Saccharomyces cerevisiae S288C: one gene and its partner. The gene in region 2 interacts genetically with the main gene of each other region. Each region holds a gene or a part of one and is shown on either strand. Other genes may lie near its edges.

The links.
Region 1: of KRE1 (region 2) and CHS3, changing one enhances a phenotype caused by changing the other (phenotypic enhancement), as found in Saccharomyces cerevisiae (5 studies listed by BioGRID, with this or other methods).

The regions. Positions count from the first base shown.
Region 1 is NC_001134.8:283,873-289,628, reverse strand, and holds CHS3 (chitin synthase CHS3), read left to right. Parts: upstream 1-1,703; coding exon 1,704-5,201; downstream 5,202-5,756. Other genes in the region: putative thioredoxin peroxidase SCO2, read right to left, coding at 1-184; POA1 (ADP-ribose 1''-phosphate phosphatase), read right to left, coding at 5,358-5,756. UniProt on the Saccharomyces cerevisiae protein: Polymerizes chitin, a structural polymer of the cell wall and septum, by transferring the sugar moiety of UDP-GlcNAc to the non-reducing end of the growing chitin polymer.
Region 2 is NC_001146.8:32,735-36,147, reverse strand, and holds KRE1 (Kre1p), read left to right. Parts: upstream 1-1,912; coding exon 1,913-2,854; downstream 2,855-3,413. Other genes in the region: VNX1 (calcium/hydrogen antiporter), read right to left, coding at 1-1,452; LEM3 (Lem3p), read right to left, coding at 2,960-3,413. UniProt on the Saccharomyces cerevisiae protein: Involved in a late stage of cell wall 1,6-beta-glucan synthesis and assembly.

The DNA.
Region 1 (5,756 bases), on a different chromosome or scaffold from region 2:
CACCTAGTTGTAGCCTATCTAGTGGTTGTCTTGCACTTGGGCTTTCCTTGTTATCACTCCTCAAACAACATCCCGTTGAAAACCCTCTTCGATATGCGCCTCCATTATAAAAGAGTCCTTTTATTGAGACGTTCGCTTGTCTGAATAGGGAACGACAAGCATATTTTCTTGAACTATTCAACATTTTACTCTCGCTTCCCAAATTCCCCTTTCTATGGTGATATTATAAAAGATCCTGTAAGCTGCTGTTTTACGAAGGTATTGTAGACGATCCGTAGCCCTCTTTAGCAATTGTTTGACTACTATCGATGGGACTTCTCGAAATTCATACTTTGTTAGGTTTTCTTTTTTATCCCTAAAAAGAGCGAAAGGATCAAGCAGAAAATTAAAACAATAGGCTACATCATCGAAGTTTCAAAGACCGGCATATCCGTCCATTTTTGAAAACACCCCACCCAAAATTGTAACTATCGACAGATTCTATGATAGCTACCCCGGGATGAAGGGCAGTCTTCTATAACTTGGGGCGGCAAGCAAACCAACCGTCATAGTTAATAAACCACACGTTGGTTATTTAGATTTCTCGTCCTGCTTTTCTGTCGCCAATAGGGCAACCTTAGAAAAGGTTTGAGGATAGTGACTACATGCAATCAAGGTAAAAGCGTTATCGAATAAGTAACAAGCATTCCGTGCTAAATTGACGAGAATTGGCAAGATGCGTCAGCACTATTTGGAGCAAACACACCAACTGGATGTCTTAAAAGTCAATTCAACGACCAATTTATGTAACCAGCGTGACTAGGGCAACGAATTTACGTCTTTTTTCTAAACTGCATATGCTATGAAATTAAAGATATACTGCCTCTATAAAAACATTTATATTTTCCCTCCTTTGCAATGGAAATGAAAACGGCGGTAAAAAAATTCGTGAGAATAAAGAGACGAGTACAAAAGTTCAATTAAAAACGCCAGGAACTGTTCTTTATCTTATTCTCTCCGTACGCTGTGTCACAAAGCTCTTGTATTGTGTCTCGCTTTCTTTTTCCAGATCTATGAAACCAGAATCACACCGCAGCAGCGACGGCTGTACCGTATTTAAGAGAATCCGCATGGGAAAAGATTACAAATTACCCTAGACAAATTTATAGAAGCGGTGCTTGTGAGATTTACTCACATTCTAGGATTCGAGAACTAAGCATTGTAGTTCTTATTTACATCCTTGAACAAATACCTGCCTATCTCCGCACGTACTACGTAGCCACAAATGTATATATAATCGTGCGTTGTATTTGCGCCCTCACCCACATATTTGACATGTGCATGAGACTGGATATTTCTTGAAGCATATTCAATAGCGTCGATGGACAGTTAGCCCGCAGTTGTATTGCATTCAGCACCTGCATAGGTGACCCTCTTTGGCTGCCTATTTGGATAAAACGCGTTATTGGCGCTGGCGCAGACCTCGAAAAAAAAAATCAAAAATGAAAATAAGAGCATAAAAATAGAAATCAAAAATATTCTTTCCTGTGTTTCAGATTTACATTCAGTACCAACATTTCGACTTGTAGTAAATCCTGCTAGAAGAATCACATTGGTAGACGGTTATAAACGTTTACCGATTTGCAAAGTTCTCGAGTATTTTTGGTGTAGGTCCCATTTTCTTCAAAGGTCCTGTTTAGACTATCCGCAGGAAAGAAATTAGAATGACCGGCTTGAATGGAGATGATCCTGATGACTACTATCTGAACCTTAATCAAGATGAAGAGTCTCTACTTAGGTCAAGACACAGTGTCGGCTCAGGAGCACCTCATAGACAAGGCTCTTTAGTGCGGCCCGAAAGAAGCCGACTGAACAATCCTGATAATCCACATTTTTATTATGCGCAGAAAACGCAGGAGCAGATGAATCACCTGGATGTTTTACCATCAAGTACCGGTGTAAACCCAAATGCAACTCGTCGGAGTGGCTCCCTGCGCTCCAAAGGCTCAGTGAGAAGCAAATTTAGTGGCCGCGAAACGGATAGCTATCTTTTACAAGATATGAATACTACTGACAAGAAGGCTTCCGTTAAAATAAGTGATGAAGGTGTTGCGGAAGACGAATTTGATAAAGATGGTGATGTGGACAATTTCGAAGAAAGCTCCACGCAGCCCATAAATAAGTCTATCAAACCATTAAGAAAGGAAACGAATGATACATTGTCATTTTGGCAGATGTACTGTTATTTCATTACGTTTTGGGCACCTGCTCCAATTCTTGCTTTCTGCGGGATGCCAAAGAAGGAAAGACAAATGGCGTGGAGAGAAAAGGTTGCTTTAATTTCTGTCATCTTGTACATTGGTGCGATTGTGGCTTTCCTGACTTTTGGTTTCACTAAAACCGTTTGTAGTAGTTCGAAACTACGTTTGAAAAACAACGAAGTATCAACAGAATTTGTCGTAATTAACGGTAAGGCTTATGAATTGGATACTTCCTCGCGTTCCGGTATACAAGACGTTGAAGTAGATTCAGACACCCTTTATGGGCCCTGGTCAGATGCTGGTAAAGATGCTTCGTTCTTGTTTCAAAATGTGAATGGTAACTGTCATAACCTTATAACTCCAAAGAGTAATTCTTCCATTCCCCATGACGATGATAATAATTTAGCATGGTATTTTCCTTGTAAGTTAAAGAATCAAGATGGCTCTTCGAAGCCAAACTTCACAGTTGAAAATTACGCAGGATGGAACTGTCATACGTCTAAAGAAGATAGGGACGCATTTTACGGTTTAAAGTCGAAAGCTGATGTTTACTTCACTTGGGATGGTATAAAGAACTCTTCTAGAAACTTGATTGTTTATAATGGCGACGTTTTGGATTTAGATCTTCTTGATTGGTTGGAAAAGGATGACGTTGACTATCCCGTTGTATTCGATGACTTGAAGACTTCAAATTTACAAGGTTATGATCTTTCGTTGGTTTTGTCAAATGGGCATGAAAGAAAAATTGCGAGATGTTTGAGCGAAATTATTAAAGTTGGTGAAGTAGACTCCAAAACCGTCGGTTGTATTGCCTCTGATGTCGTTTTGTATGTTTCTCTGGTATTTATTCTTTCAGTGGTGATAATTAAATTCATAATTGCCTGCTACTTCCGTTGGACTGTAGCTAGGAAACAAGGTGCATATATCGTGGACAATAAAACAATGGATAAACACACAAACGATATCGAGGATTGGTCTAATAATATTCAAACAAAAGCTCCTCTAAAGGAAGTAGATCCTCATTTGAGGCCAAAGAAATACTCAAAAAAGTCGTTGGGACACAAGCGTGCTTCAACCTTTGACTTGCTGAAAAAACACAGCTCCAAAATGTTTCAATTTAACGAATCTGTGATAGATCTAGACACCTCCATGAGCAGTTCACTACAATCTTCTGGTTCATACAGAGGAATGACAACAATGACCACTCAAAATGCTTGGAAACTCTCGAATGAAAACAAAGCTGTACATTCCCGTAATCCATCTACTTTGTTGCCTACATCCTCGATGTTTTGGAATAAAGCGACTTCCTCTCCTGTACCAGGATCATCGCTGATTCAGAGTCTTGATTCGACGATTATACATCCCGATATCGTTCAACAACCACCACTGGATTTTATGCCATACGGGTTCCCATTGATTCATACTATCTGTTTTGTTACTTGTTATTCTGAGGATGAAGAGGGTTTAAGAACCACTTTAGACTCTCTTTCTACCACAGATTATCCAAATTCCCATAAACTACTGATGGTTGTTTGTGATGGTTTAATTAAGGGCTCGGGCAACGATAAGACTACTCCAGAGATAGCGTTAGGAATGATGGACGACTTTGTCACCCCACCTGATGAAGTTAAACCTTACTCCTATGTGGCAGTGGCATCAGGCTCTAAAAGACACAATATGGCCAAGATATATGCGGGTTTTTACAAATATGACGATTCTACAATTCCACCAGAAAATCAACAACGTGTCCCAATCATTACAATTGTGAAGTGCGGTACTCCTGCAGAGCAGGGGGCCGCCAAACCCGGTAACAGAGGTAAGCGTGATTCTCAAATTATTCTGATGTCCTTTTTAGAAAAAATAACATTTGATGAAAGAATGACTCAATTGGAATTTCAGCTTTTAAAAAATATTTGGCAGATTACGGGGCTAATGGCAGACTTCTACGAAACGGTACTTATGGTTGATGCTGATACTAAAGTCTTTCCCGATGCTTTAACTCATATGGTCGCTGAAATGGTTAAAGATCCTTTGATTATGGGTCTTTGTGGTGAGACCAAGATCGCTAATAAGGCACAATCTTGGGTAACTGCAATTCAAGTGTTTGAGTACTATATTTCGCATCATCAGGCTAAAGCTTTTGAATCTGTCTTCGGTTCGGTAACTTGTTTGCCGGGATGTTTCTCAATGTATCGTATAAAATCTCCTAAAGGTTCAGATGGTTATTGGGTACCTGTATTGGCAAATCCAGATATTGTTGAAAGATATTCGGATAATGTTACAAACACTTTGCATAAGAAGAACTTATTATTACTTGGTGAAGATAGATTTTTATCTTCATTAATGTTAAAGACTTTCCCTAAGAGAAAGCAAGTATTTGTTCCAAAAGCTGCTTGTAAAACTATTGCCCCTGATAAATTCAAAGTCTTACTTTCCCAGCGTCGAAGATGGATTAATTCTACGGTACATAACCTTTTTGAATTAGTTCTAATCAGAGACTTATGTGGCACTTTCTGTTTTTCCATGCAATTTGTGATTGGTATTGAATTGATTGGTACTATGGTACTGCCGTTAGCCATTTGCTTTACTATTTATGTCATTATTTTTGCCATTGTATCAAAACCTACACCCGTAATCACTTTAGTTTTACTGGCAATTATTCTTGGTCTGCCCGGCTTAATTGTTGTTATAACTGCTACGAGATGGTCGTACCTATGGTGGATGTGCGTATATATTTGTGCTTTGCCTATTTGGAATTTCGTACTACCTTCATATGCGTACTGGAAATTTGATGACTTCTCATGGGGTGATACGAGAACTATTGCGGGAGGTAATAAAAAGGCACAAGACGAGAATGAAGGTGAATTTGATCACTCAAAGATTAAAATGAGGACATGGAGGGAATTTGAAAGGGAAGATATTCTCAATCGGAAGGAGGAAAGTGACTCCTTCGTTGCATAGACAGTATGAAAATATTTTTACTGTGATACTTACAAGTTGATATATGGTTGTGTGTAACTTATTTATTTGAGAGGTATTTTAACACACCTTAGAACTAAAACTTAATAAATAAATATTTCTCTATCTTTAAAGGCACATATTACGTGGCTAAGGCAATTACAGCTGATATACTGTAAAACTCATGTCGCCACTAAATTCTTCTAACACGCGTTCTGTCTCTTTCCAAGGGACTCCGAATATGCCACTATTTATCTGTGGCATTTCCAATTTATATTCCCCTATTGGGTATTTGATGTGGCCGTTTAAATAGTCACCGATTGAATCTTCACTTGTTCGAGTTTTGTCTTTTGCTTCTCTAAAGGTCTTCAATTTATCTAAAGCAAGTTTTGTATAATTCAAAATACTTTGCTTTTCTCCATGACTTGAACCTCCAAATGATGATGTAAACAAGCAACAAATCAGCAGATCTGAGTTTTCGTAACTGGGAAGTAATATGCATTTGCCTAGTAAATTAGAACCATACTTTTCGCATACTTCAACGTAATCTTTCTCTGC
Region 2 (3,413 bases):
CCAGCCAGCGGCACGGAACGTACATAAGAGGATATTTTTGTTCAATTGCTGCTGGGTTATTTCATTTTCGTGCGATTGGGAGGAGTTCTCGACATATTTGAAGCCTAATGCAAGCGGATGTCTTCTGCAATGATACATAATTTGCCAAAGAACATTACTCATGGGAATGGTAAACACCAGGAGCCAGAGGCAAAGAGATAAGACGGCAAGGATGGGTTGCAAGACGAGATGGAAGATTGTATAGAAAAGAACACGACCCCAGCTCCATTTTCCTCTCCCAAAGTACCGTCTTTGAGCCGCTGCGTGCGGAATTTCGTGTCTAATAGAATTATATGATGGATGGTTCGAGTTAAGCGGTGTTGCTGTTGTGTTAGCGGGCGGCATCAAAGACGAAGATTCCGTTGCAGGGGCCGGATGGTCCTCTCTTTGCTGAAACTTGGCCTGAGACTGGTGGAAGACCAGCCTGTTGGAGTATGAAGTCACCCAATTGTAGAATTGCTGCATACTAATACCTTCATCCTTATCTTCTTGTAAATATTGCTCGTCCTGCAACAAGTATACCATTTTGCCAAAAGGCCAAAGGAAATAATTGGCGAGTTTATACAGACACTTGGAGTACTCCTTCGCAGAGTTCGTTACCAGTCCTCCGCCGCCTAGTAAAAATACCACAATAGCCGCCGAGTAGAAGAGTATCGCAATGGGGAAACCGAACAAAATAAACCATAGCACATTGGAACAAGTCACCTCCCAGGTAATAGTCTTCAACTGAGTCTCGTGAATGTCTTGCGCCGCGGTTCTTTGAACTGAACGGTGTTTCTTATATAAAGCAGGCTTCCATATCCTGATACCGAAGGGGTGGGTCTCGTTGATGGCGTCCTGTCTTTCTCGTAAAGTGAATGACTCTGTGGACGAAGCATTAGACGCCTGGTCATTGTTTTCCAAGTGTGAAGGCGACTGGCAATTGATCTCGTCTATAAGTAAATCATGGCCGTGCGAGTCGTGTATAATGAACCGACTGTCATCATTGGCGTCCTCGTCATCATTGTCATCATGAGGTAATTCCCGGATAGATGAATGCATTCGTTTCGGAGAGCTGGGAGTAGCTGTATTTAAGTCTGGCACAGAGTGCGACTTGGAGGATAGCGACTCTAGTGTGGGCGGCAAGTGTTGTTGGTGCTCGTGGTGGTGCAGCGTGTTGTTGCTGCTATGTACGATTGGTGATTGCGAGCTTACAGATCGCTTGGATTTATTGGCATGCAGGGCGAACTTCAACCCTTCATGCAGACCCTCAAGATACCTGATATCGTTTTGGATCTCCTTTGGATCATCGTCCACGCTAAATATTCTATGAGGAGTCGAGGCAGATGTAGTTGGGGTCAGAACCTCCTCTTTAAGACGATGGTCTCCAGAGGTACTGTTACCACTGGCAGAAATGTGGTTATTTTTGGCCATTGCTGCTTACCGCTCTTCTAGCTAGCAGTTATTTCACTTTCATTTACAGCATCCCTCATGTTTATTATCTTCTTTATCTAATATAAATTAGGAACTAAATAATCCCCTCACCGTATAAAGCGACAGTTCCGTGACGGTTACTATTATGAATATCTCAACGGAAAGAGGGCATTAAAAGATCATAATAGTTGGTACTCTCGTATTTTATATATATATATCACTATATTTTAACACTTTTACTGCTCAATTGTGCCATATACTTCGCCTTATTGCGTACATTCTTCACCTTGTATCCCCCTACCTCAGCGTGTATGGTGATATCGCGTTTTTTCATAAACTGAGAATGGGGCTTTTTCTATAACGTGTATTATGAAAAAAAGAAAATAAAAATCAAGAATTAAGCACTTGTATATGCTACAGTAAAGACCTCTTCAACTTCTGCAAGACAATCAAAAAAAAAATGATGCGTCGCACGCTATTACATTCATTCGCTACGCTGCTACTTTCTTTGTCGTTGTGGTCAGCTGCGGTCATGGCAGCTGTGACAACTCAGGTTACAGTGGTAACAAATGTCGCAGGGGCCCTGGTTACGGAGACCACAATATGGGACCCTGCCACCGCTGCTGCTGCTGCTACAACTACCGCTCAAACAGGTTTCTTCACTACGGTATTCACTACCACTAACGATGTCGGAACCACCGTCACTCTTACTCAGACAGTCAACAGAGCCACTATGCTACCAACCACGACGACTTCTACCTCATCTACTGGTAAGACAACCACCACTGTTCCTACCGCAACTTCATCGTTGTCTTCGGGACTGTATTTATCTACAGTTACCACGACAAACGATTTGGGTACCACAGTTACATTGACTCAAACGTTCACACATTCTAGCACCAGTGCTACTTCATCCGCCTCCTCGTCTGTGTCCTCGTCTGTATCTTCGTCTGGTTCATCCTCCAGTGTAAAGACGACCACATCGACAGGGAGCGCAGTAGCTGAAACAGGCACCAGGCCAGACCCCTCCACAGACTTCACAGAACCTCCTGTGTCTGCTGTCACTAGTCTATCTATTGACTCATACATTACCATCACTGAAGGTACAACCTCCACTTACACAACCACACGTGCGCCAACGTCCATGTGGGTCACTGTTGTTAGACAGGGCAACACTATCACTGTGCAAACTACTTTTGTCCAGCGTTTCTCCTCCCAGTACGTAACAGTCGCTTCTCCCTCCGTGGGGTCTATTGGGATGGGTACTTTAACCGGTACTGTAGGCGTTATTAAATCTGCAATAAAGAAAACAGTTTCGCATAATGAGGCCCAGCATCTAGGTATGAGTTCGTTTACTTCAATTTTGGGTGGGCTATTAACGGTTTTAATTTGGTTCTTATAAATTTTTATTCAGAAATAAACACAAACATATACATATATAAGAGTAAAAATAAAAAAATAAAAAAATTTTACAGGGTTAAAAATAAAGAAAACCATCACTCCTTTTCTATTTCATATTCCATGACAAACTTGATGCATCAGCAATCTTTCTACCGCCGAAGAGCCAAAACGTTAATAATATCAATGCCATGGCAGCACAAATACAGCCTCCAATCAGGTAAACTATACCTAAAAATGGATTTCTACCGCCAAGGTGAGAACCGTGAGTCAAGTAGATTCCCTTCTTACCATTAAACTCCAATACTGGCCAATGCAGACCGATATCCAACTGGTATTCACCCGCTGGCAAAGTATCGTTTTTATTGATTCTGATCAGTTTTGTAATTTTATCAAAAGCACCTGGCCTCATCCAGTTTTGGAACTCTTCCCAATCCTGAATATCAGGAATATTCGTCTCGTTGTATCCATCTGGATACATCTTTTCCCAATATGGTGGAGGTGCTATCTGTGTATAATTGTATTTGGTTTTTTTGTACCTTTTTTTATCAGATTCCCAATTG